Linked DNA regions of Sus scrofa. The protein of the gene in region 1 interacts with the protein of each later gene in a pairwise test. Links are inferred from orthologs where the notes say so. Each region holds a gene or a part of one and is shown in the gene's direction. Other genes may lie near its edges.

The links.
Region 2: the proteins of FATE1 (region 1) and SYNPR interact in binary tests that used the Homo sapiens proteins (3 or more experiments, as listed by UniProt). The link is inferred for Sus scrofa from reciprocal best matches to the Homo sapiens genes FATE1 and SYNPR.
Region 3: the proteins of FATE1 (region 1) and bcl-2-like protein 2 interact in binary tests that used the Homo sapiens proteins (3 or more experiments, as listed by UniProt). The two-hybrid records come from large-scale screens. The link is inferred for Sus scrofa from reciprocal best matches to the Homo sapiens genes FATE1 and BCL2L2.
Region 4: the proteins of FATE1 (region 1) and BNIP3 interact in binary tests that used the Homo sapiens proteins (3 or more experiments, as listed by UniProt). The two-hybrid records come from large-scale screens. The link is inferred for Sus scrofa from reciprocal best matches to the Homo sapiens genes FATE1 and BNIP3.
Region 5: the proteins of FATE1 (region 1) and CCDC70 interact in binary tests that used the Homo sapiens proteins (3 or more experiments, as listed by UniProt). The two-hybrid records come from large-scale screens. The link is inferred for Sus scrofa from reciprocal best matches to the Homo sapiens genes FATE1 and CCDC70.
Region 6: the proteins of FATE1 (region 1) and TRAF3IP3 interact in binary tests that used the Homo sapiens proteins (3 or more experiments, as listed by UniProt). The two-hybrid records come from large-scale screens. The link is inferred for Sus scrofa from reciprocal best matches to the Homo sapiens genes FATE1 and TRAF3IP3.
Region 7: the proteins of FATE1 (region 1) and NDUFB11 interact in binary tests that used the Homo sapiens proteins (3 or more experiments, as listed by UniProt). The two-hybrid records come from large-scale screens. The link is inferred for Sus scrofa from reciprocal best matches to the Homo sapiens genes FATE1 and NDUFB11.

The regions. Positions count from the first base shown.
Region 1 is NC_010461.5:123,104,667-123,108,885, forward strand, and holds the start of FATE1 (fetal and adult testis-expressed transcript protein homolog), read left to right. Parts: upstream 1-1,419; 5' UTR 1,420-1,484; coding exon 1,485-1,587; intron 1,588-2,527; coding exon 2,528-2,646; intron 2,647-4,219. UniProt on the Homo sapiens protein: Involved in the regulation of endoplasmic reticulum (ER)-mitochondria coupling. Negatively regulates the ER-mitochondria distance and Ca(2+) transfer from ER to mitochondria possibly implicating it in the regulation of apoptosis.
Region 2 is NC_010455.5:45,155,732-45,159,231, forward strand, and holds part of SYNPR (synaptoporin), read left to right. Parts: intron 1-2,527; coding exon 2,528-2,719; intron 2,720-3,500. UniProt on the Homo sapiens protein: Intrinsic membrane protein of small synaptic vesicles. Probable vesicular channel protein.
Region 3 is NC_010449.5:75,767,944-75,772,188, reverse strand, and holds the start of bcl-2-like protein 2, read left to right. Parts: upstream 1-1,445; 5' UTR 1,446-1,560; exon of another isoform or gene 1,561-1,581; intron 1,582-1,834; exon of another isoform or gene 1,835-1,860; 5' UTR 1,861-1,948; intron 1,949-2,425; 5' UTR 2,426-2,433; coding exon 2,434-2,865; intron 2,866-3,492; coding exon 3,493-3,642; 3' UTR 3,643-4,245. UniProt on the Homo sapiens protein: Promotes cell survival. Blocks dexamethasone-induced apoptosis. Mediates survival of postmitotic Sertoli cells by suppressing death-promoting activity of BAX.
Region 4 is NC_010456.5:140,365,452-140,368,951, reverse strand, and holds part of BNIP3 (BCL2/adenovirus E1B 19 kDa protein-interacting protein 3), read left to right. Parts: intron 1-2,839; coding exon 2,840-2,990; intron 2,991-3,273; coding exon 3,274-3,358; intron 3,359-3,500. UniProt on the Homo sapiens protein: Apoptosis-inducing protein that can overcome BCL2 suppression. May play a role in repartitioning calcium between the two major intracellular calcium stores in association with BCL2.
Region 5 is NC_010453.5:15,976,314-15,979,228, reverse strand, and holds CCDC70 (coiled-coil domain-containing protein 70), read left to right. Parts: upstream 1-1,178; 5' UTR 1,179-1,181; coding exon 1,182-1,943; 3' UTR 1,944-2,415; downstream 2,416-2,915.
Region 6 is NC_010451.4:133,197,209-133,200,708, reverse strand, and holds part of TRAF3IP3 (TRAF3-interacting JNK-activating modulator), read left to right. Parts: exon of another isoform or gene 1-1; coding exon 2-73; intron 74-3,253; exon of another isoform or gene 3,254-3,307; coding exon 3,308-3,448; intron 3,449-3,500. UniProt on the Homo sapiens protein: Adapter protein that plays essential roles in both innate and adaptive immunity. Plays a crucial role in the regulation of thymocyte development.
Region 7 is NC_010461.5:41,770,679-41,774,838, reverse strand, and holds NDUFB11 (NADH dehydrogenase [ubiquinone] 1 beta subcomplex subunit 11, mitochondrial), read left to right. Parts: upstream 1-1,360; 5' UTR 1,361-1,391; coding exon 1,392-1,598; exon of another isoform or gene 1,599-1,607; intron 1,608-3,389; coding exon 3,390-3,713; coding exon of another isoform or gene 3,714-3,810; 3' UTR 3,811-3,910; downstream 3,911-4,160. Other genes in the region: RBM10 (RNA-binding protein 10), read right to left, coding at 550-619. UniProt on the Homo sapiens protein: Accessory subunit of the mitochondrial membrane respiratory chain NADH dehydrogenase (Complex I), that is believed not to be involved in catalysis. Complex I functions in the transfer of electrons from NADH to the respiratory chain.

The DNA.
Region 1 (4,219 bases):
AAAAAAAAAAAAAAAAAAATTGTGGTTTATTTGAGATTCCAAATCAATTGGCATCCCCAGCCTGCCAGAAACCCACAGCTCCTGCATCCCAGGCTCCTAGGTCCTGCAGAGTGCACTTCTCTGTTCGTAAGGTGGCCTCCAGGAGGCTTGGATTTCATCGTAGCTGCTCTGTTGGAGCCGGGAGGCACTTCTCCAGGGCCCTCAGGAATGCAGGCAGGGCCTTTGTCCGCTCCGACCTGATCCTATCTGATCCAGAGAGCTTGCTCCCCACGCTGGACAGATGGGGCTGGGGAGGGGGTCAGGCAGCCCAGGTCTTGCCACCCTCTCTAAACGAGTCTGGCCCCTCCCTTTCCTCTCCCTGCCCTTTCCTTCCTCCCTTCCTCTCCCCCTCCCCTCTTCCTCCTTGGAGCTCGCTGGGTTTCTTTAACAAGATAGCCTCCTCTTCCCCCAGGGGCTTGGGGGCTCATCGTTGGTGGTTGCGTCAGGCAGGGGTCTCCAGAGAAATGGAGGCAATAGGATACATATATGTGTATGTGTGTGTACATATGCATGTGGGTGTGAGTGTCTGGAAAATTTTATCTTAAGAAATTTGCTCATGCCATTGTGAGGCTAGCAAGGCCAAAATATGCAGGGCAGTTCAGCGCATTGGAATCTTCAGGGTGGATGCTGCAGTCTTGAGCAGAATTAATTCTCTGGGAGACCTCTTTTCTCTTAAGGTCTTCAACTGATTGGACGAGGCCTACCCACACCATCGAGGATTAGGCCCATCTTTTACTTCAAGCCCGCTGATTGTAGGTATGGACAACAGCTACAAAAGACTTTGATAGCAACACATAGACTAGTGCTTGATGGAATAACTGGGCTCTAGGGGCTGTAGGCAGGTCCCTACTCTCTTGCCTTCCCTCCTTTGGCCCTAAGGGTTCCTGTGCAGTCTGACCCAGGGCCTCAAAAGGCCATCTGCCCTGCCTGGGAACTCTGGACTGGAGGGGAGGCAGGGCATGCTCTACAGAAGATGCCTTCTGAGGGGGGTGGATTACTGGCCAGAGACGGCCTTGCAGGAGCCATGACAGACCCGGGATGTAACTTTGCTTTGGCCAAAAACTGGCTCTGGGGTACTGACCCCCCCCCCACCTCTTTCTAGAATTGATGCAGCGTGGAGCCTGCCCGTGCCCCTGTGGGACCAAATTGGGTGGCCCAAGAACCAGGGAGGTTCTCACAGACAAATGTTCCAAGCCTTATCTCTTCCCCTAAGTTACTTACAGAGTAGCAGGGAACAAAGCCTCGAACCCAGCCAGCAAGATACAGCAGGAACAGGAGGTGCTGGGTCCAAGGCCTGAGTGCAGAGGGGGAGTCTGGCTCCACCCCCATGTCCAGATATATCCTTGAGCTCCCACCCGTCAAAGAGCTGATTTTCCCAGAGCGTCCTCCGTGCTCTGCTCTCTGTGCATCCTTGGCCACCGCTTACAAGTGAAGAGCTGGCTGTGATGGCAGGAGGCTCCACTAACACCAAGAAGATAGAAATGTCCTTGGCTGAAGAGCTGGTTCCTAAAAGCCAGGAGCCTAGCCGCGAGCAAGTGCTGATAGCAGGTGAGGAGCCCCTGAAATGGACCTTCCCTTGAGTGCCTGCACCTGTGTGTGTGTGTGTGTGTGTGTGTGTATGTGTGTGTGTGTGAGTGTGTGTGTGGGAAACTGTGCATGAGTGGCTTGGCAGATACTCATATCTGCATGTATGTTGATGCATGGATTGGGGGTACGTGTGTGGGTGGCCTTGGTTCACGTACACATATATTTCTGGCTTGAGTGACAGGGGAGTTGGAGAGAAAGGGATTGATGATATGAGGGAGGTGTCTATTGCAAAACATTCCCAAGGCTCAGTTTACAAGATCAATCAAATGATTTCTCTCTCCTAACTCTCCAATACCTTCTCCTGCCTTTTAGAGTAAAATCCAAAGTCTTTACCATGATCTACAAGATCTGATCAAGGTCACCTCCTCCATGTATTTCCTGCTGTTTCCTGCCTATGTGGCCTGCTGGCCTACTGTACATCCCAAGATTGTTTCTGCCTCACAGCCCTTGTGCTATAGCTGTTCCATATACCTTGCAGGCTTCTCTAGATTTTTCAGGGATGGACTCTTTCAGGTCTGTGTCGTAGTGTTGTTCCTGACTTTTCTAGACGTAGCCCCTTCTTTCTGTCTTGTTTTTATTGATCTGAATCTACATGGACAGAGTATTTTCTGCCACCCTCATTCTCCCTAGAAATACACGGTCAGTCTCCTGATTGCTGTCATCTTATCTCCTGGCCGTTGTCCTCTCTTTAGTCATGTAGCCCAGAGCTTTATGCTCGGTAAATACCTGCTACATCTTGAATGGATGAAGAAACTGAGACATGGGTTTGGCCAGTGGATATCAGTGAATGGGTGTTTGGTGATTCCTGAGAAGTTCTTGTCCCTTTTCCGGTGTGTCCTGTGCCCATGAAGCTTTGGTATAGCTGTATGTGTGTTCCTGGGACCTCCATTTTTCTCCCTAGAAATGTTGGAGCATGGAATCCGGTCCCTGGGTGCTTCTCAGAGCCGTCAGAAGTTGGATTCAAAGATTTCCGATTCTGCTGCAGCTTGGAATTTGGCTGCCAACAAGTCCAAGAAAACGGTACTATATGGGGACCTTGGTACATGGTTGGGTTTGAGAGTAGCAGCTATAGGGGATCTAAGTCTGAAGATGGTGAGGTCAAGCAAGGCCAGATGTTGAATTAGGGGTGAGAGAGGAAGCTCCTGTGCAGTAGGCAGGGAAATGAGGGCCACATGGTCCAACAAGAGGTCAGGACTATTTATTGTTAGGCTAGGAATTCAGTATTGAAAGTACAGAATGCTGAATTACACATTGCTTGGGGAGTACACATATACCGTATTCTGTGCAACTCTAAAGTGTGTGAAATAACACTTTCTTTTATTAATAAATAAATACATCTGTATTTATCACCACATATGTATATCTATATATCTGTATTTTCCCAATATATCTTATATTTTGTTTTTATTCCTGTATATAAATGCATTTCTATGTAGAAGTATATAAAATATAAAAATATATAAGCATATACAAATGAGATATACGTACAAATAAACATATGTACATCTGTATATCTTAGGGATGGGACAAGACTCAGGCAAGTGAGATTGCTATGCTCCATGGCCATTAGGAAATCCAGTCATTTGCATCTGAGCAGTTTGTAGCCAATTCTTTAAGCTACACTCCATATGAGTGAGGGAATGTTCTCGAAAAAATGGTGCTTCTACTGTTGCAAAGGATACTGGGAAAAGGCAGCCATTTTGGAGCAGCTCTAGGGAATGAAGTGAGTCCTTGAGTGCCATCATTTTGTAGCCAGTCCTTTCAGCTACATTCACCTCCGGTGGGGGAAAGCTTTAGAAATATGGTGGCTATATTGTTGCAAAAGTTACTTGGAAAAGGCAACCAGGTTGCAGAAGAGGACAACCGGCCTGTTGATGGGGATCATGTGAGTCTCATGCTCTGTAGCCAATCCTTTAAGCTACTTTCACTGTAGTTGAGTGAAAGTTTTAGAAACCTGATTTTTAGACTCTGGAAATGGTTACTGAGGGAAGGCAACCTGGTTGGAGAGGGAGGGAGGCTTGATGTTCTAGAAAATCACCTGAGTCCCATTGTTCTGCAGTGCATCTTAAGCCTCGTTCACCTTCTGAGGAAACGTTCTAGGAAAAATGGTGGCCATTTTAGGGAGGGGGACGCGTGACTCCTCTAGAAAAATCACTGGAGTCCTTGTTGTTTGGCTGATTCTGCCAGCTGCATTCACCTTGGATGAGGGCAATTTTTAGAAACACGACTGTTAAACTGTTGCAAATGCTATCCGGCAAAGGCGGCCCCATTGGGGAGGAAGGAGATCTGAGTCTTCTAGGGAATGGGGTATAATAAATACGGAACTGATTCCAGCCACAAATGAATAAAGATAAAAAGAAGTCCCAGGTCACAGACCTTTGGGAATGAAAAGAAGCCATAAACGTTGAATTGGCTTCAGGTGTTCAAAGGCTGAAGCCACATCAAGTGGCTCCACTAGCTCAGGCTTCAGTAAGCTACGCATGCCCTGAAACTGAGGTGGGATGGGATTGGGGAGGGGCGGTTGAGGGAATTAGTTCATCTCTGATGAATTAATATTACCTCTTCAAACCAAAGGAGTACACTTTTAACAAAT
Region 2 (3,500 bases), on another chromosome or scaffold:
TGTTGTCAGGATTAAAACAGTTAATTCAGGAGTTCCCATCATGGCTCAGTGGTTAACGAATACAACTAGGAACCATGAAGTTGCAGGTTCAATCCCTGGCCTTGCTCAGTGGGTTAGGGATCTGGTGTTGCCATGAGCTGTGGTGTAGGTCACAGACACAGTTCAGATCCCACGTTGCTGTGGCTCTGGTGTAGGCCAGCAGCTAGCTCCAATTAGACCCCTAGCCTGGGAACCTTCATATGCCATGGGAGCGGCCCTAGAAAAGGCAAAAAGACGGAGTTCCTGTCGTGGCTCAGTGGTTAACAAATCTGACTAGGAACCATGAGGTTGCGGGTTTGATCCCTGGCTTTGCTCAGTGGGTTAAGAATCCGGCGTTGCCGTGAGCTGTGGTGTAGGTTGCAGATGCGGCTCGGATCCTGCGTTGCTGTGGCTGTTGTATAGGCCGGCGGCTACAACTTCGATTAGACCCCTAGCCTGGGAACCTCCATATGCTGCAGGAGCAGCCCAAGAAATGGCAAAAAGACAAAAAAAAAAAAAAAAAAAACCACAGTTAATTCATGCAAACTTGGAAAAATAAAACACAAGAGCTCAATAAATGTTAGATATTATTACTATTATTTTAATAAGTTTGGGGTTTTTTTTGTAAGAGCTCAATAAATGTTAGATATTATTACTATTATTTTAATAAGTTTGGGTTTTGTTTTTTTTGGGTTTTTTTTTTTTTTTTGTCTTTTTGCCTTTTCTAGGGCTGCACCTGCAGCATATTGATGTTCCCAGGCTAGAGGTCTAATCGAGCTGTAGCTGCCAGCCTTTGGCAGAGACGCAGCAACGTGGGATCCGAGCTGCGTCTGCAGCCTACACCACAGCTGACAGCAACACTGGATCCCCAACCCACCAAGCGAGGCCAGGAATTGAACCCGCAACATCATGGTTCCTAGTTGGATTCATTGGCCACTGAGCGACGATGGGAACTCCAATAAATAAGTTTTAAAGAGGTGGTATTTTCTTCAGTTTCCAGTTGAGAGGTTTCCCCATCCTAACAGCCTTTTAAAGTTTCCCCATCCTAATAGCCTCTAATTTTTAAAAGGGTGGTCAGATTTCCAGGAGTATTTCCAAAATTCTTAAGGCAGTGGAAATAGAGTACTTGCAGTTTGAAGACAAAAAAAAAAGTATTTCTAACTATGATGAGCATAAATAATTCCAGCTACTCATAGTTGGAATTATAGGATATCTACTGGCTACTAACAAATAAGTAAAATCAAGAAAGTAAAACCTAGATTGTGCATTTTTAAACCCCCAAAAGACCTTACTGAATATCTGATGCATTGCTCAAAAATTACTCTTTGAAGGAATGAAGGAATGAGATAGGTACAGATTGAACATGAAGAGAAAGTTGTGTTTGGCACAGTCATCCTGGCTTGTTTATTTGCAACCATTCCTCCATTTTCTAATTCAAACCCTACCCCTTGAGTTTCTTCATTCCGAATTTCCTTACAGATAATGAAATAGCTGTAGAGACTGTATTTTTTGCCTGTTCATTTATACCTATATCTCATTCCAGAAACACTTTCACATGGCTTACAGAGACATATGAAACTCAAGATGAAATTAATTAAAGATGAAGACAACAATAGAAAATGCAGGAAGGGCATAAAAGCAAAAATAGGAGTAGGGTTAAAATACCCAGGATAGTAAAAAAGAAAGAAAGAAAAAAACCTTTGAGGAGATAACAGGTTGGCCCTACATTTTCTAAAGCCAATGTAAAATGGTCAGTTGATGAGTTACATAATTGGCAATGGCCCCTGGATAAAAAAAGACCAATTGCTCAGAAGATTCAGCCCCTTTTAGCTGTGGACCTTCTAGAACATTCTCACAAAAGACACAGTAACAAATCATTCACAACAACAATATTAAAGCATAAGAGTTCCTTCAGTGTAGATCAAGAGATCTTGATGAAAAATAATTGAATCATAGCATGAGGGGAGACTCACAGAGGAAGTGAGATGTGACACTGCCTTAGGTAGGAAAGAAACAGATGCCAAATTTTCTATGTGAGGTATTGATCATTTAAAATAAAAGAGAGGTCTGTTTCTGTTGGTATGTCAAATTTATTATTTTCCTTTCCAAGTCAGTGTTTTTATTATTCTGGGTAAACAGTATGCAGCATTTTTATAGTTGTCAAACATAAATACAGTAAATCTGAAAAATTGTCCTATGCTAGAACATGGTCTGCTGAAGTCTTGGGTGTGGGTGACTCCCACCCCCACCCCCAGTCTCTGAGTCACAAGGAAGGATATGAGAAGTAGCCCCTCATCACCAGAAGCATAGTAAGCATTCATTATTGTTGCTATTATTTATTTTCTAGAAATATTAAAAAAAATCACAAAACTTTTTTATTCGCTTTTCAGCATGGTTCCAGTGCTATGGGATCTTGGACTTTTCCAAAAAGCAAACCAAAGAGTTGTACAAATGCATCTATTTGTTTCTAGAATTCACATTTCTCTTCCTGTCTTATCTCTTTCTGTAGGACTTTATCGTCACTGTAGTCTTTTCATTCTTGTGGTTGGTGGGTTCCTCAGCTTGGGCGAAAGGGCTGTCTGACGTCAAGGTTGCTACAGATCCCAAAGAAGTGTTGTTACTGATGTCAGCTTGCAAACAACCGTCCAACAAGTGCACAGCCGTCCACAGCCCTGTGATGTCCAGCCTGAACACTTCCGTGGTACGTTGCCCTCTACATTTCACCTCCCAAATCTTTTTTTTTTTTTTTAAGGCCACCCCTGTGGCACATGGATGTTCCCAGACTAGGGGTTGAATCAGAGCTACAGCTGCCAGCCTACACCATAGCTGCAGCAATGCCAGATCTGAGTCACATCTGCAAATATGCCACAGCTTGAGGCAGCACTGGACCCTTAAACCACTGAGTGATGCCAGGGATCAAACCCTCATCCTCACAGACACTATGTTGGTTTCTTAATCTGCTGAGCCACAGTGGGAACTCCAACCTCCCAAATCTTTGTTTGCCAATGAAGGGAATCAGAAAAACATCTCAAGAGTCATCTTGGAAATTTTTGCCTCTGAAACTGTGCCCATCTAAGAGGTGACAGTTCACTCTCTGTGCAAGACAGTCCCTGGGCCTTCCAGTTTTCTATTGTCAGAACCCATAGACTTAAATGCTGCCAATTACAGAGTTCTTAATAAGAGCCCAGCAGGTACTGGCAGCTGTTGCTTGGATGACAGTCAAGTCAGAATTCTAAGCCAGAAGCAGATACATAATCTGAACTTTAAGGCTGAAATCTGCCAGAAGTTAAAAGGAATATTTGATGGCATAGAAGTTTCCTGGGAAGAAAACATTGTTCAAGCCACGCATAGGTAAAATACACCCAGTTGGCTGTCTGGAGAAAAATACTTGGACCCAGTAGTGTACAGAAAGAAATGCCGAGTATAAAAAATACGTATAATAGTTATGGTAATTTTTTTAATATTCTCCATGCTCCTGGTTT
Region 3 (4,245 bases), on another chromosome or scaffold:
ATAGAAATAAAGGGAACCAGCAGGAACGGAGAATTAGGTTACTTTTTCTGGGCCTTTGGTTAGAGAGTCCTCCAGATGGAGTTGAAGGAAGTGCCAGTTAAGAGTTGGTGGGCTCCAGTCAGAACACCTGAGTGTGCCCTCATGTGGATCAGTGATGGTCAGATGGCTTGCACCCCGTCTAAACATATTGCCATATTTATTTTTTTAATTTTTTTATTTAAAAAATTTTTTTTTGTCTTTTTGCCGTTTCTGGGGCAGCTCCCATGGCATGTGGAGGTTCCCAGGCTAGGGATCCAATCAGAGCTGTAGCTGCTGGCCTACACCAGAACCACAGCAACACCAGATCTGGGCCGCGTCTGCAACCTTCACCACGGCCCACGGCAACGGCGGATCCCCAACCCACTGAGCAAGGCCAGGGACTGAACCCGCAACCTCGTGGTTCCTAGTCGGATTCGTTAACCACTGAGCCACGACGGGAACTCCAACATACTGCCATATTTAAATAATAGACATTCATATAGGTGCATATATATATTTACACGTAACCTGAAAGGACAAATATCAGTTTTGACACTGGCAGCCTCCAGGAAGGGAATGGGAATTGTGGAAAAGGCAGAGGGAGGAAGATTGAGGACTTGTATTTTTTTCTCCGTATTTCTATACTGTCTGACTTTTTCATAGAGAGAACATATTCATGTGGCGTTCTTTTGTGGTTGCAGTGGGTTAAGGGTCCAGCACTGTCACTGCAATGGCTTGGGGTGCTGATGTGGTGCAGGTTCAATCCCGGGCCCCAGGAACTTCCACGTGCCAGGGGCACAGCACACACACCCCTCCCCCCAAAAAAGAAAGAAAACAAGTTCATGTGCTGAGTAGAAAGAATTAAACAGAAGATCTGATTACAAAAAAAAAAAAAAAAAAAAGAGAGAGAGAGAGAGAGAGAGAAAATGAAGAAAAGTTACCTGCAGAAACTGCCTGCGATCCAAGACCTGGCTCCTTGGTGCCTGGCTAAAGCCCCAACGCACAAAGAGACAACTGGGTTAAAGTTCCTGGAGAAAAGAGGAAGTGAGGTGTTTGGTATCTGTATCACATCTGCCAGGCCCACAGGGTGAGACACCTGGCAGGCAGTTAGTTCCCATTGGAATGGGAGCTGATCCTCTTTTCTGGCCCGCTGCTTCAGGGCTGGAGAAGTTCAACAAGTGCATGGAACATCAGAGACCTGGAAATGCTGAATTTGCTCTGAGGTTTCTTGAGGCCCTGTCGGCTTCTCTGAGTAGCCTCCAGGCTCAGGAGCCCTGCCCGGGCCCTCAATGCCCTCCTGGCCTGTGCTTCTCAGTCTCCAGCCACCCGCTTTCTTCCTGAGTGGTGGCCTTTCCCAAGCCTGCGTCCCAGCCCCGCCCCTCTCTCTGGACGCATCTCTGGGCCCCATCATCACCCGGCGCCGGGCCCTCCCTCCCGCCCCCCCTTTCTCCTCCCTCCTTCCTTCCCTCCCTTCCTCCCTCTCTCCCTCCCTCCTAGCTCCTGCACCAGGAAACGGCCCGGATCCCGGCAGCGGCCTGACCCGTGAGATCCTTAACCTGGCAGGCAGGCGGGGTTGCAGACTGGCTGAGGGTGGGGGTGAGGGAGGAGCTGGGCCTTTGGGCTGCACTCGGGGGGAGCCAGGAGTAGAGATGGTGTCGGCAGGAAGCCCTTGGCCCTGGGTTTCCCGGGAGGACAGTCATTAAACATGGATTCGGCCACACAGCTGGTAGAGCGTTGGGGGCAGGGCCCTTGTCCCGGGAGCTGCAACCCCAGCCCTTCTCAGCCCGGACCCTGATCCCTGGTCTTTCCCATCTAGCTCTGATCTCCCCCTCCCCTTCCCAGGGCTCCACGCTGGGCAAGAGGATGAAAGGCCCCAGCTGGGGGCTCCTTGCCACCAGCGCTGGGTCCTAAGAGCTGCCATCCAGGCTGGGTGAGTGTCCCCTTCCTTCTCTGTCCTGGGCAACCCTTGGCTTCTCCTTCTTTCCCTTCAGCCCTGTCTCCTCCCCCATCTTGTGCCTCTGTCAGCATCTTCACATCAGGCCTCTGGGGAGGCCCTAAGCCCCTTCCTCTAGCCAAAAAGGTGTATACCGTGGAGAGGGGGCTTGTAGGGATGTCACAGCCCTGCTGTTGTCTTCTTATGGAAAGAATCTAAAAAAGTATTTTAATAATGAAATTTACTTGTTTTACCTTTAATTTGGCATATTATGAGTTTTAAGGGCCAGGCCCTCATGCCCTGACCCCTCACCATGGCTTAATTTCCTTGTTCTTACCTCTCCCAGGCCAGTGGTCTCTGAGATTTCCTCCCCGCTCTCTCCCTGTCTCACTGGGCTGGCCAAACCTGAAATGCCCCCTTCTGAGTCTCTGACCCTATAATCATGCCAGTGTCTTTTGTGTTTGACTCTGACAGCCGCCCGGATGGCGACCCCGGCCTCAGCCCCAGACACACGGGCTCTAGTGGCAGACTTTGTGGGCTATAAGCTGAGGCAGAAGGGTTATGTCTGTGGAGCTGGCCCCGGGGAGGGCCCAGCAGCTGACCCGCTGCACCAAGCCATGCGGGCAGCTGGAGATGAGTTCGAGACCCGCTTCCGGCGCACCTTCTCAGATTTGGCAGCTCAGTTGCATGTGACCCCGGGCTCGGCCCAGCAGCGCTTCACCCAGGTCTCTGATGAACTCTTCCAAGGAGGCCCCAACTGGGGCCGCCTTGTGGCCTTCTTTGTCTTCGGAGCTGCACTGTGTGCTGAGAGTGTCAATAAGGAGATGGAGCCACTCGTGGGACAAGTGCAGGAGTGGATGGTGACCTACCTGGAGACACGGCTGGCCGACTGGATCCACAGCAGTGGGGGCTGGGTAAGAAGCTTCTCAATTGCTGTTCTGCACATCCCTCCAAAAAGCTGGTCTCCAGGGAGAAGATGGGGGCTCTGGCTGGAGCTGGGGGCAGCTGTGCTGAGAATGAGATGTGAGGTCTGAGTCTCCCTATTTGGGTGGAATGGAATGCCCTTGTCTGGGCATCATTGGACTCTGCCCTCCAGGGCTGCCATGCAGTCATCACTGGGTGGGCTCAGGGTCCAAAGCAGAGTACAGAATACCCAGTAGCCAGGTAGTGCCTGCAGGGAAAAGGCATCCAACTGTCAGGAACCTTTTATACCTGAGTGTATGGCATGGGGGGAGGGGGGTCAGGGATCAGGGATGGGTGGTGGTCAGGCGAGCCTTGGCAAAGGAGGCCCGTTCTGAGCAGAGTTTTTGGCCAGGGAAAGGATGGGATTAGCTTGAGGTAGAGAAGGACAAATGAGCCAGGCGCTCATGGGGGATCAGAGGGGCTGGCAGCCAGTAGAGCTTTGGCTGGAGAGGAGCTAGGGGTGGGGTAGTGCTTGCAGTGGATGGAACTGGAACTCTTCCTCTCCTCTTTTCTCCACTCTTTCCTCTCCTGATATCCCTTTCTCCTTCTTTCTCTCCTACTTCCCTTCTCTCCCACAGGCGGAGTTCACAGCTCTATACGGGGACGGGGCCCTGGAGGAGGCGCGGCGTCTGCGGGAGGGGAACTGGGCCTCAGTGAGGACAGTGCTGACGGGGGCCGTGGCACTGGGGGCCCTGGTAACTGTAGGGGCCTTTTTTGCTAGCAAGTGAGAAAGTCCAGGGCCAGGTGGGGCTAGGTGTGGCTGGGGGACAGGAGAGCAGGAACAGAGCAGAGGAATGCCCTTGGAAGAAGCGGGGGGTATGGAGGGGCATGGAACGGGGATGGGAAGGGGCAGGGTAGCGTGTGAGGGAGCGGAGCATGCCAGGCAGGCGGTTGAGAGAGTGAGCTGGAGACATTGTGGAATGTATTTGGAAAGTCTGGGGGCCAGGAGATGGAGTCATTCCAGGGTCAGGGGGAGGTGGGAGGGATCATGCCTATAGGTGTAGGTACAGAAAACTACCTGGAGCTTGATTTGCAGCCCCGAGGCAGCCCCGAGGCAGGTGGACTTGCTTAAGGGGTTGGCGATTTCCACTGAATGAGCGAGATTTGGGGAAAACACTGAGGGCACATCCCTTTGGCATGGGAGCTTGAGGTTTTCAGGGGATAGGGAGAGGGCTGTGACCGTGGGCACTGGGGACACAAGTGTGCATGTGCACGCGTGCTCGTGTGCATGCTGGGCTGCTTGTCTAATCTGGTGGTGGTGGGACTCCTCTAGGAGAAAACATTCCCTCTTGCGGTGGCAAGAACAAGGTGTGCAGCTCTCTGTCCCTCCC
Region 4 (3,500 bases), on another chromosome or scaffold:
CAGACCCTGCCGGTGTAATAAACAGACACTCCTGAAACTGAGAAGTTTGTATTTCTTGATGTTTACTTATTTAATTTATTTTTGGTCTTTTTAGGGCCGCACCCCGAGGCATATGGAGGTTCCCAGGCTAGGGGTCAAATCAGCTGTAGCTGCCGACCTCCACCACAGCTCATGGCAACGCCGGATCCTTAACCCACTGAGCGAGGCCAGGGCTCGAACCCGTGTCCTCATGGCTCCTAGTCGGGTGTGTTAACCACTGAGCCATGATGGGAACTCCCGTATTTTGTATTTCAGTTGAGAAACACCTGTATTGAATCGCTGTCCCCGGTTCCGGGCCCCGAGCTCAGCCCCGGCACCGGTGGACTTCCTTGAGCCGCAGGAGCAGCTGAGAGTTACTAGCGCGCCTTCTGCCAGCAGCTCCTTTGGAAGACACCGGGGCCCGTGCTAACGGGGTGACGGGGGCCTAGGTAGCCTCAGGCGGGGGCGGGAGAGACCAAAGATGAGGGTGGACACTGGGCACCCACCTGGGGGCAGCCTAGAGACTGGGTGAGAAAAGGTTTGAAGGAGGCCCGTGGCTCCGAAGCCCCCCACCCTCGCCCCAGCTGCTGTTCCTGTGTCGTGTTCTTTCTGGGATGGGGCCGGGTAAGCAGTTTTCCGGGTTCTGTGAGTTGTTCCAGTGAGTTCCTTGGGGGAGGGGGGAGCTGGCGGTCCACCAGGCGGCAGTGCGGGCGGCCTGGGTGTCCCCTCGGGGCCATCTAGGTAGACGTCTACCGTCTGCACTCCAGGTAGTGTCAGGATGGACACTGGACAGCTAGCGGGTGTTGGAACATTGGTGGTTGGTGTAGACACTGTCACGTCAGACGCTGTGTCACAACTCGCAACGTCAGCCACCGTAAGGGGACGTGACCTGGCAGCCAGGCCCCGCGCCTAAGGCAGAACCTAGAAAAGGAACCCTGCCCGGAGCAGCGCCCCGCGGTCCTGTCCACGCATGGGGAGAGCGGGCCGGCTGGCTGGGTGTCACCTTCCTGCGGGAAGGGCTCTGACACCCGAGCCTCTTTCTCAGCGGGGCCTGGGGCTCCCGGGCCTGCGTCACGGCGGGCAGCGTCCTTGGCGGACGGGAGACCTGGCGTCCTTCCTGCAGCTTCGGCCGACGCGGAGGGCCGGGCTGCCTGGGCCTTGGTCCAGTGGGTCCTGGGCTCCCAGACAAAGCCTGGCTCGCCTGCTGCGGGCCCGGTGGACGGAACCACTGGAGGCTGAGCCGAGGGCGCATGGCCTGGAATGGACGGTTCTCTTAGCGGCCAAGTGGGCGGCCGTTCGCGCTGTATTCCTGGAGCTTGGATTCGCTCCCCTGCTGTTGCGGGCGGGCTGCAGGCCAGGCTCCGTCAGATGGATGGGGCCTGACGCCTGGTGGCCCGTGGTGGCTGCCGTGCTCTGGTGACGGTTGTCGGTAGAGTCCGGCTGGCTCCGTGCTCTTAACGACGACCCCTGCCCCGTGCGACACCACGGGGACCTGGGCCCCGGAGACCCGTGCGCAGCCAGCTTGACTGATAAGCAGCAGGATGGGAGGGGGGGACGCAGGGGGCTCTGGCCTGGCCACAGAGCCACAGGGACTATCCCAGCCGCGTCCAGCTCACTCGTGCAGGGCCACGTCCAGGCCCGTGCATCGTGCGCGAGACACAACCTCAGGCGAGCGGGAGGCTGCACGTTGGAACTCGGATCGGTCACGTCCACCTCAAGACCCCGGACGGCAGACCCAGGAGAACGCGTTGCCTGATGCAAGGCCTGGCGGCGGAGTGTTGAGCTGGAGGGAGGGTGGACCGCGCAGAGCAAGGGAGCAGACGCCAGCAGCGAGCTCCGCAAAGTGCCCCCGGGGCCAGCATCCCGGGAAGGCCGGCGCAACCTCACTCGAGATCAGACACGCAGAGAAAGCGCACAAGCTGCCGCCGCAGCCCTTAGAGACCAAGTGCGCGGCCCCCAGACGCGCCTGTTGGCCCCGCAGCCTCGGAGGCGGTGGGCTTGTGGGCCCCACACGCCGGGCCCTGCATCTGCGTGTGAGGCCCCTCAGAGCCTCCTGGAGTCCAGGGCTGTCGCCCCGGGCAGCCGAGGCAGAGCCAGCCCGCAGCCCTGGCACTCGCCCCCGTTCCCAGCCGCGTGTCCCCGGGGCTCCTCCGGGCCTGCGGGTGGTGGGGCTGGCGGGGCTCTGCCGGCTGGTAGCGTCGGGGGCGGAAGCTGTGGATGGGCTGCGCAGGTGGGCAGGGGACCTTGGCGCTCTGTTCCTGTGCCATCTGGAAAGGTCCATCTGCGTGGGGCTCTAACGAGGTCAGGTCCGGTTCGGGCGAGGAAGAGCGCTGGTGACTGGCCGTGGAGACACTGCCCGTGCGGCTCTGGCAGGGGTTGGCGGCAGGGGTCGGCAGCAGTCGCCTGTTGCATTCGCTGTGTGTTTATCTGGCCTCTGAGGCTCGCGACAGCGCCTCGAGGTCAGAGCGGGACGCTGGGAGGTGGGGGTCGGTGACAGGTGACAGTTTCAACCTCTCTCCTTCACTCGCAAATCCCGAGGATTTCGCTGACCCGCCTTCCTCCCGCCGTGAGCGGCGAGCGCCCTGGAGCCGCCGAAGTGCGTCTGGGGGCAGTGGGGCTGCACGCGCGGGGTCCCTCTCCCCAGGGGCGCTTGGGTCCCCGGAAGGGCGAGGCGGGGCCGGCTCCCGCGATCTGACGGGAGCCGGCCTGACGGTCTTCCTGCCCGGCTCAGGGCCGGTTCCCTGGGAGTCTTGGGCGTGGAAGGGGTGCGCTGGTTGGGGGTAGGAAATTGCAGCCGTGTCCCTCTTTTTGTCCCCATCAGGCTCCTGGGTAGAATTGCACTTTGGCAGTAACGGGAGCGGGAGCAGCGTTCCAGACTCCGTTTCTATTTATAACGGCGACATGGAGAAGATACTGCTCGATGCCCAGCACGAATCTGGACGGAGCAGCTCCAAGAGCTCTCACTGCGACAGGTGGGCGGGAAGGCGGGCGTCTCAGCGCGAGCTGCTGGGTCGCTGCCGTCGCAGCCCCGAGCTTCCTTTCCAGCCTCCTCAGACCCTGGCGGGGGCAGTGCCTGCAGGCTGTCCGTGGGGTCCCTGCTTCGGGGCTGACGGCCCGGCCTCCGAGCTCCTCCAAGACAGAGGGTCGCTCGCTCCGGCCTGGCCCCCGTGCTGGGGACGGCTCTGGCCTGGCCTGGGGGGCTGCTCTCGTGGGGGAAGGTTAACGCGCGCTCTGTCCTGTGGTCATTCTGCTCAGCCCGCCTCGCTCGCAGACGCCGCAGGACACGAACAGAGCTTCTGAGACAGACGCACACAGTGTTGGAGAAAAGAACAGCGCTCAGGTGAGCTGTGCAGGTGCACACGTTTGTGATCTGTTTGCGCCGTTTGCAGGGTCATCGAGTCGTGTGGGTCTGGCTTTGGGGTCCTCTGAAACGGGGACTGGGGGCGGGCGGGGCCGTCCTCAGCCCCTCACAGGGGCTCCTG
Region 5 (2,915 bases), on another chromosome or scaffold:
CTGAGCAAGGCCAGGGATCAAACCCACAACCTCATGGCTCCTAGTCAGATTCGTTTCTGCTGCACCACAATGGGAACTCGAACTTAGCACTTTTTTTTTTTATAAGGACCACGCATGCACCTGCCATCAAGTAAAGAAACGGATTTCTACCAGCCCCTCTGAAGCCCCTCCTCCTCACCCAATCACAACCCTCAGTATCCTCCCTCCCAACCCCGTCCCTCACGCACAAGTAAATACTACTTTCACTTGATGGGACTCAGATGTTATCACCTAAGTATATTTCCCTAAACAATAGTTTAACTTTTCCTGTCTTGAAAGTTTCTCTTTCAAAGTCTTTGATCCTGCTTCTTTCTTTCAATGTTACTTTTACAAGATCCCTCCACCTCGCTGCCCAGAGCTGTGCTCTGCATTCCATGAATAAACCACCACAGCTGAACTCCATCCTATTGTGATGGTTGTTGGACTGCCTGGCAGCGTTGAGCTGTTGTGAACAGCACTGCTTGAATATTCCTGTATGTGTCACCTGAACACAATTCCTAAGTTTCCTCAGGGTTTGGATCTGGGAATGGAGCTGCTGGATCATAATGTGTTCATTATTGCTCAATATGACTGGATCTCGGGTGAGACTTGCTCTTTCCCACATCCTAGTCAACATTCAGTGTCCTCTTTCACCTTTTGGTTCTGTTCCCAAAATAAATTCTTCTTCCAAAATCGGCCCCTCCAGGTAGTGGGTCTCACCCACCCAAGTGGCTTGTAAGAGCAACCATGCCCACGTGCAGCCCCCGCTGTGAGCACACTCACCAGAGGGTGATGAGCAGTCCCCCAGTGAGAAAGCCCAAACCTCAGATGTATTCTGGTTGATTTAACACAAACAAGTCACTTTGGGGCTGTGGCACGTTATTATTGAAAAGTAAAAACGAACTGTGCCACACCTCTGCTGTGACTGTGTCGTACTTGTGTGTTCTGACGCCCTGGTTGGCTGTGATCTATTTTCTTAGTGGCTTTGAACACGAATGTGCCGACCTTCTCTTCGGCCCAAAGCCATGACCTGCCGGCATCTGTCTCTACCAAGGCTTGTCCCTCACAAATACCCCCAAGGGCCAAAGCGAACAATGGCTAAAACTCCCCCAGTCAAACGGTCCAGAGGCAGGGGTTGCCCTCCGGCCGCGTTACTCACCGTCATGCTCTCTCTGGCGCCCCACAGGGTTGGACCAGCCGACCTGCAGGCGGCCCGCAGCCCTGTCCTCCAGCGCAGCCTCCCGCCACCCTGGCCGGTCAGGACCATGTTTCCCTTCAAGGTGAGCAAATGGATGGGGCTTGCCTGCTTCCGCTCCCTGGCGGCGTCCTCGTCCAGCCTTCGCCGGAAGAAACTGATCCACAAGCTGCAGGAAGAAAAGGCGTTTCGGGAAGAGATGAAACACTTCCGTGAGAAAATCGAAGACTTCAGGGAAGAGATGTGGACTTTCCGAGGCAAGATCTGCACTTTCAGGGGCCAGATCTTGGGCTTTTGGGAAGAGGAGAGAACTTTCTGGGAAGAGGAGAAAACCTTCTGGAAAGAGGAAAGAGCCTTCTGGGAAATGGAGAAATCGTTCCGAGAAGAAGAGAAAGCCTTTTGGAAAAAGTACCGAATCTTCTGGAAGGAAGATAAGGCCTTCTGGAAAGAGGACAACGCCTTATGGGAACGAGACCGCAACCTTCTTCAGGAGGACAAGGCCCTGTGGGAGGAAGAAAGGGCCCTGTGGGTCGAGGAGAGGGCCCTTCTGGAGGAGGAGAAGGCGCTCTGGGAGGATAAAAAGTCCCTCTGGGAGGAAGAGAACGCGCTCTGGCAGGAGGAGAAGGCCTTCTGGGTGGAGGGCGGCGGCCAAGTTGCCGAGGAGCAGATGCTGGAAGGTGGCCACCACGGAGGCCGCCGGTCGCCAGCCTTCCCCCGGCGCAGGGCGTGAGCGCAGGAGCCGAAGGGCCGCGGGGTCCACGCACCGCTGGATCGGGACTCGCCTCCCGGGTCACTCCGTGTGCCCAGGAGAATATGCTCTTATTTGACTCCTGCCTTCAAAAGATCTAATAAAGTCCTGAGGAGCGGTTTGCAAAGCCAGCATCTTTAAGGAGGGCCAGCTGCATTTCCCCCCAGGTTGAGTGATTCTCCGAGGTCGTAATCCCACCCTCCAGGCTGTATTGCGGTCTGCAGGGCTTGGTCCGGCATGTGTGGGCGGGTGTTGGCGGGAGACCCTGGGCTCTCTTGAAAAGGGTCCGAAAGGGGGTGGGGGTGAGGGTGGGGAGGCTCAGACTCTGCCAGCCAGAGCCCTCTCTGCCTGTCAGGCTGTGGGCAATCCTTTCCCCTCCACTGGGCAGTCTGGAAGGTCTGGAGGGGGTTGACAGCTTTCCAGAAAAGGCTGCAGTGCTGCTAACAATTCATCTGCGGGCGATGCTCACCTGGCAGCTCTTTAGAACACAGAGGCAGCATCCCCGAAGGGCCACTTGCTCCCGAATCTGTCTCCAGGCTTCCCCCAAACTTCGAAAGCTCGGCTCTGTAACATGAGAAAGGGGCGTGGCAGGAGGCTGAGGCTCTAGAGCTCCGCCCACAAAGCGCTGCCTTCCCCAATGATGGAGGCCTGTGGACCAGGCAGGGCCTTCTGGGAGGTGGAAGGGAGGCCTCCCTGCCCGCTACCCCCATTCGCACTTGCTTTTTTGCACTATCAGTTCCTTCCTTTGTGTTTCCTTCTTCCCATTCATTTAAAATTAAAGTGGCCCATGGAGGCAGTACATTAAATGAATGTATGCTAATGTGCCCAGCTTCTCTTCTGGGCTGAGACCATCTACATGGACATTGGTGGGAAGAGCTCACGGGTGGGCAGTGGGAACTGCCAAGGCCAACACCTGCTTCTCCTTTTGGGGGCCTGGCCCTCACTGTCATTAAC
Region 6 (3,500 bases), on another chromosome or scaffold:
GGGCCAGCTTAATGAAGACAAATTGAAGGGCAAACTGAGATCCTTAGAAAACCAGCTGTACACCTGTACCCAGGTAAGCATTCTGAAGGACACATCTAGCTCAGGAAACGAGAATTAAATAGGAGAGAACATTTGAACCTCAATCCTACTCTCTAGAAATGTCGCTACTAGGAATTAATGCACCTATTCCTACCCACCCGAACCTGGCTTCATCATTTTTCACTTTAGCCTCCAATTTACCAAACACGATCTCCATCCTCCCCCGCCTTTCTCCCCATGTCTTTCCCTTTGCACCTTGAAAAAAGGAAGCCCAGCACCAAGCACTCTGCCAGCTCCAGGGGAACATTGAGAATTCCTGGGAACGCAGGGAGAAGCCCTTGGCAAAGAGTCAGCCCACCTGGAGAGAACTTCACCGGTCCCAGTTTTTGAACAGATGAGTTAGATATTACAATGAGGACTCGCAAAATGACTTTCATCCCATGAGCAACTTTTTTTTTTTTTTTTTTTTTTGGCTTTTTAGGGCCACACCCACAGCACATGGAGGTTCCCAGCTAGGGGTCTAATTGGAGCTACAGCTGCCAGCCTACACCACAGCCACAGCAACACAGGATCCAAGCCATGTCTGCAACCTACACCACAGCTCACGGCAATGCCAGATCCGTAACCCACTGAGCAAGGCCAGGGATCGAACCCACAACCTCATGGTTCCTAGTCGGATTTGTTTCTGCTGCGCCATGACAGGAACTCCCCATGGGCAACATTTACCTGGCAGCAATTCCTGGGAGAAAGTAAGAGACTGTGCCTCCTAGCTCCTCTGAGGTGTTGTTATCCAGCTCTGGGAATCTCTTGCTTGGCCTGATCTCGAATTATATGAAATGGAAGGAAGTCAGCTTTTACACTCAAGAAGTGATGGATTTCTGACAGGTGAGGAGAAACATCAAATAAGAGAATGAGGAGTTCCCATCGTGGTGCAGTGAAAACGAATCCAACTAGTAACCATGAGGTTGTGGGTTTGATCCCTGGCCTTGCTCAGTGGGTTAAGGATCCGGCGTTGCCATGAGCTGTGGCGCAGGTTGCAGATGAGGCCCGGACCCAGCGTTGCTGTGGCTGTGGTGTAGGCCGTAGCTACAGCTCCGGTTAGACTCCTAGCCTCCATATGCCGCAGGCACAGCCCAAAAAGGACAAAAAGAAAAAAAAAAAAAAAAAAGGAGAGAGAGAGAGAATGAGGTGGACCTGCCAGACTGCTCCTACTTGATGTCAGGGAGGTAAAGCGGCCACGTAGTACAAATTTTGCTGATTACGTAATTTATATAATCTGTGGGTTTGCTGACTCACAACTCCTTTTTTCCGTCATGACCGACTTTGTCAGACTCTTATGACCAAATAATGCCAACCAGACTCATAAGAGACCGACGTATAATCCAGAATGCCAGTCCACTCATTTTCTACGGGGGATACGGCTGGCCAGTGACCAGCATGGTTAAATCCAATAACTTAGACATGCCATGTATGGTCTCAACCAGTAACTCCTGTTTCTGATTTCTAATGAGAGTTCCTGGGACATAAGACCGACTCAACATTTAAATCCAAATTTTCAGATGGTTCCAAAGCTAAAAGGAAACGATTCCACATTGGTCCCTAAATGTGCATTAGTTAGACTATCTCTTAACCAGTCGGGAAATCGATGGTAAAAGCTTCGTGCTTTCCCCCAAACCACAGGGGAAAAAATGAAAAGCATGGGAAGGGTGAGAACTCCAGGGAATTTGCAAAGTTGCTCTTGTATATTTTTTATTTTTTATCTTGAAGCCAGGAGAAATTCTAAAAATGCAAGTGTATTAATTTTTTAAAACTGAGTTTGCTGAAGCTTGTTCGGATCCATGAAGCTATACATATAATTTTATTTTTAAAAAAACACTCCCTGCCTGAAAGGAGTTTACAATCCCTTAAAAGAGACGGGTGAGTCAGTATATTAGAAAGATAGAGATGGGCAGGGGATACCTTGCAACACTGTCTAATCCATAAAGAGTTGGGGGATATGGAGCTCCCCTTGTGGCACAATGGGATCAGTGTGGTGTCTTGGGAGCGTGGGGACGTGGGTTCAATCCCTGGCCCAGCACAGTGGATTAAGGACCTGGCTTAGGTCGCAACTGCTGCTCAGATCTCATCTCTGGCCCGGGAGCTCCATATGCTGTGGGGCAACCAAAAAAAAAAAAAAGAGTTGAGGGATCATGTGGTTAACCATATTTATCAGAATTTATGTGATTCTCGGGCTGTATCTTTTACCCTGGTGAAAGGGTCAGGATGCCCTAGGGAGAAGCAGCTCTATGGGCAAAGGCAGAGGCTGAAAAGCACAGTGCTGGGGTGATGGCCCCGTGGAATCAAAGTCTGGGCTTTAAGTAGGAGCTGTACCAAGGAGTTTGGACCTGATCCTTAAGACACTGAGAGGTTTAAGCAGGTTGTGACAGGATCCAATTTGAGTTTTAGAGAGAATGCTCTAGCTGCAGACTGAGAAGGGTTTGATAGAAGCACGGCCTGAAATAGGGAGACTATACAATCCATAGGATACTGTTATTCGCGTCCGACTAAGGAGGCAGAAGGAGAGAGAGAGAGGCGTGTGCTGTTCAGGAGGTCCACAAAGCTCAATGGCCAACTGATTCCTTGGAGAGAAATCACGGATGATTCCCTGGTTTAGGGTGTGGGAGACTAGGTGATGATGCTGGTCACTGAGACGGGAGCAGGTTTAGAAAGACCATTTCCCTGGAGTGCCCAGGAAACAAATCCCAACTAGTATCCATGAGGACGCAGGTTCAATCCCCGGCCTCGATCAGTGGGTTGAGGATCCGGGGTTGCCATGAGCTGTGATGTAGGTCACAGACACAGCTTGGATCCTGTATTGCTGTGGCTGTGGCACAGACCAGCGGCTGTAGTTCCCATTCAACCCCTAGCCTGGGAACCTCCATTTGCCTCTGGTGTGGCCCTAAAACCAACACCTCCCCCCCCTCCAAAAAAAAGAAAAGAAAGGTGATTTCCCTCTGGAATACTGACTTTCAGGACCCTAGGGAAGGCCTAGGGGCCGATGCCCAGGGCCGATGCCCAGCGTGCCCAGGGCAGTTTGTTATCCCCCCTCACCTCTCACATCACCTGAGGGGCTCTCCCTGCCCACCTCCAACCTGGGAGAAGGGCCACCAGGTTACCAGCATCTCTGCCCTGTGGGCAAGGACTGACTTCTTTTCCCTTCTGCATCCCTGCTCAGGGTTTGGCACACAGACGCTCAATGTGTATTTGTTGAATTGAATCACATTTGCAGAACTACTCCCCCAGGGGAATGAAGAAGGTGATATTAGAGATGGAAGACCAGAAACACAGCTATGAGCAGAAGGCCAAGGAGTCACTGCAGAAAGTGCTGGAGGAGAAAATGAGTGCAGAACAGCAGCTGCAGAGCACACAGGTGAGGGTACCGGGCAGTCCCTGGGGCTGGGAGCCCTGGAGTGGTCTGGGCT
Region 7 (4,160 bases), about 81 Mb from region 1:
CCCACCCAGTAAGTGGATTAGGGCCAGTTGTAAGAAGACTTTCTGGGATAAGGACCCCTCCCCATGGATAAGGACCAGGGTTACGGACACACGATCCGAGGATAGAGACCCCAGTCATACGTTCTCCCTCCTCCCCCACTCAAGAATAAGGACCAGAGCCACCAAACACTTCCCCGTGGATAGGTAAGTACCAAAGTCACACAGGAGAGCAGACAGCACACTTCCTATAGATAAAAACCAAAGTCGCAGACACTCGCCTCCCACGGATAAAGTTCGGCGTCGCAGACACACTAAGCCACAGTAACCCACTCCCATCCGTCCCTCCCTTCCCCCAACCCGCGTGCACCCATCCTGTGTCCCAATCGCGCACGCGCCTCTGCTCTCAAAAGGAGAAAAACAAAAAACAACAACAAAAAAAGACACCCCCTCCCGAGCACAGACCGTGTGAGCATCGGGGGTTCTGCACGAAAACCCAAACCTGCCGCCCGCAGTTCGCCCTCGCGCCTCCTCTACGCGTTCCCCCCCCCACCCCCGCCCCCGGTCCCTTACCTCCGCCCCCACGACCAGCGTCGACGCTCACCTTCTCGGCCCGGGCTGTCAAGGGAGGGCTCCCGGACATCACCTCGGCCCGCCGCCACCTCCTCCAACTCTCCCAGCTCAGCCGGAGCCGGTCCGCGCAACGACCCAGTCCGAGGCTGAATGCGGAAGGGCGGAGGACTGGGGAGGGAAGGAGCGCCCAGGCGCGCTGCCCTCCCCGGGCAACTCACTGCCGCCTACTCCCAGCCGGCCGCGATCACCAGCACAAAATGGCGACGACGAGAAGGGAGCCGGCGCTTCGACCACCATCCACCTACTAAGGGAGCGCGCTCTGGCCGGCCCCGTCTATTGGTCGCCGTCCTTCGTGGGCCAGCCCTGGCCTGCTCTGATTGGCAAGCGCATGCCACCACCCCGCTCCCCGTGCGAACGCCCGCAAGTCGAGAAAAAGAGTAGCTATTGGCCAATCCGGCGAGGCCCGCTTTTTAGAAGCTCGGCTTCCTAGGAAGATGAAAGACCAGCGGAAGCTCCGCCCCTCTCGCCAAAGGGCACGGGAACTCTCCTCGAGATTGGTTGGGGACTGCATCCACCCAAGTGTCACCGTTTTCTTCTCGTCAAGAAAATAAGCAGCCTTTTCGGCCAGAAATTCCACAGCCTGACCGAGAAGATAGGAAGCTGGTTGCTCCCGTGAGGCCATGACAGAGGGAGGGAAAGAGGACGTTTGAAAACAAAATCCCAACTCGGGACCTATTTAGTGCGGCGGGGGCGGAGCGACAATTCTCGCGCTCAGGCCCAACTGCAGCTGCGCAGAGTCACATTTCCGTCCCCGCCCCCGCGAGCCTGCAGAACGAGCTGTCATGGCGGCCGGGGTGTTAGGTTTGTGCGCTCGCCGCCTTTTAGCAGCAGCGGCGACGCGAGGGCTCCCGGCTGCCCGTGTTCGCTGGGAGTCCGGCTCCTCCAGGGCTGTGATCGCCCCGTCCGCTCTGGTGGGAAAGCGGCCGCCGGAACCGACTATACGCTTGCAGGAGGACCCAGATCCGGAGGACGAAAACCTCTATGAGAAGGTGAGAGGGAGGGGAAACGGGACGCCGCAAGGGTCAATCGGGGACCTGCGGACGGGGCGCCGTAGAGGACGTACTTAGTCGGCTGAGGATTGCGCAGCTGGCAAAATCCTCAAAGATTTGGGAGTTCTTTCTAGCTCCTTTTCCTCCTTTGTCCCCTGATAACCTTCGGTTCAGGGCCAGAGGCGAGACTGACCTTATTTTCCAGACAGATATCAAACCTGAAATGAGCAGTATACCATAACAGCAATAATATTAAACACTGATACGGTCCTTGCTCAGGTGTTCGAAACACTTTATAATATTAACTTATTTAATCCTCAAAACAGCCCTATTTCGAGGTAGGTACTATTAATATACCCATTCTGCAGATGAGGAAACTGAAGCATGAAGGTGTTAAGTGACTCCTCCAAGCTCACTTAACTGAATGTGTGGCAGAATCAGGTCTGCTGTGCTATCCTGTTAGCAGAGACTGAAATCAGAATGCCTGAGTTGGAATACAGGCCCTGATAGTTACTTACATATGTGACCTTGGGCGAGTAGCTTAACCCCTTGGTGCTTCAGTTTCTTTGAAAGATGGGGAAAGTATTAGGACACTTTCTAAAAAATAAAATATTACACCTGCCTCGTGTAATTAAATGAGTCAGAGTGCTCAGAACAGCAATTGGCACTTATTAAGTACTCACCATTAGAAGCTGTTAATTATTCTTGCCACTTTCCACCTTACCAGGATATTGTGCAGTTTGTGCTTGTGAAAAGGCCTGGCACGTGATAGATGCTTCATCAATACTAACCTTTGGTTGAGGAGCTTGGCTCTGTAGGATGCTTATTCATTTATATATTAATTCTGTAAATATGTATTGAAGGCCTGCTGTGTGCCAGGCTAAGTTCAGGGTGCTAGGGATTCAGCCACATGGGAGTTAGATAAAGCCCTTGCTTTCACAGAGCATACATGATAGCAGAGAACAGGGAAAATAAATGTATAGAATATTAGAAAACAGTGATATAGAGGAATTCCTGTCGTGGCTCAGTGGTTAACGAATCCGACTAGGAACCATGAGGGTGCAGGTTCGATCCTTGGCCTTACTCAGTGGGTTAAGGATCCGGTGTTGCTGTGGGCTGTGGTGTAGGTCGAAGACGTGGCTCGGATCCCAAGTTGCTGTGGCTGTGGTGTAGACCAGCAGCTACAGCTCTGATTGGACCCCTAGCCTGGGAGCCTCCACATGCCGTGGGAGCGGCCCTAGAAAAGGCAAAAAGATAAAAAAGAAAAAAAACCCAGTGATATAAAGTATGCAATCAATAATATAAGATAATGTGATCAGAGGATTTGGGGGCTATACTGCTTTGGCAAACAAGTAAATGCTAGAAAGACTGTTAAGCAAGATAAGTGAATGGATAGTGACTTGGGGTAGGGAGTTATTTTATTAGTTTGAGCCATAGGAAATTGCCAATATTCAATAATTTTTGACCTGTTAAAAATGTCAGTTTGCTCTAGCTCAACTTAATAGACAAGGTGACTAGGAAATGCCTCCTGAGGGGAGCGATGATGAAGCCAAAACCTTGATTGAGGAGGCAGATCCAGCCACAGCTAGGTCGGCGGGAAAAGCTTTCCCAGCAGAGGAAAGAGCAAGTGCAAAGGCCCTGTGGTGGGAAGGAGCTTGACAAATCCTAAGAATAGAGAGGAATTTAGGAAGGGAGGGAGGAGCTTGGTCCAAGGTGAAATTGGAGATCGGGTTATACTGCTTTGTGGAGTGGCAGGAAGCCTTCATTGACCTCTTCTTCTCTTTGCCTCAGAACCCAGATTCCCACGGTTATGACAAGGACCCCATTGTGGACCTCTGGAACATGCGGGTCGTCTTCTTCTTTGGCTTCTCCATCGTCTTGGTCCTTGGCAGCACCTTTGTGGCTTATCTGCCTGACTACAGGTGCATGGGGTGTCCAAGAGAGTGGGGTGGGTGGGGGCAGAGGCAGGGGTGGAGCTTTAAAGAGACTGTCAGGAATCCTGTCCCTGTGCAGCAATGGGAGCTAAGATGGGGATTGGTGTCCATGGAGGCTCCCTCAAGTCTACCCCCACGCTGCTGCCTCCAGGATGCAGGAGTGGGCCCGCCGGGAAGCTGAGAGGCTCGTGAAATACCGAGAGGCCAACGGCCTCCCCCTCATGGAATCCAACTGCTTCGACCCCAACAAGATCCAGCTGCCGGAGGATGAGGACTGACCTGGGGCCGAGAGAGGCTTAAGAAGCACCTCTTTCTTTATCTCCTGTCTGCCATTCTGCCCTTCTCTCAGAGCACCTAATTAAAGGGACTGAAAATGTGCCTGGCTGGTGTTGCTTTTGTTGTGAGGGGGCTGTGGGAGTGGGGGTGTCAGGCTTTAAAAGCTTTTTCTAGGTATGCAGGTTAGCTGTTGCCATGTGACAAACACCCTAAAACTTAGTGGCTTAAAACAATAATTTGGTATTATCTTTCATGGTCCAGTGGTTGACTGGGCTCAACTAGGTGGTCCTTCTTGGGGTCTTGCGTGGTTGCAGTCAGATGGTGGCTGGGCCCAGAGTCATCTGGAGGCTCA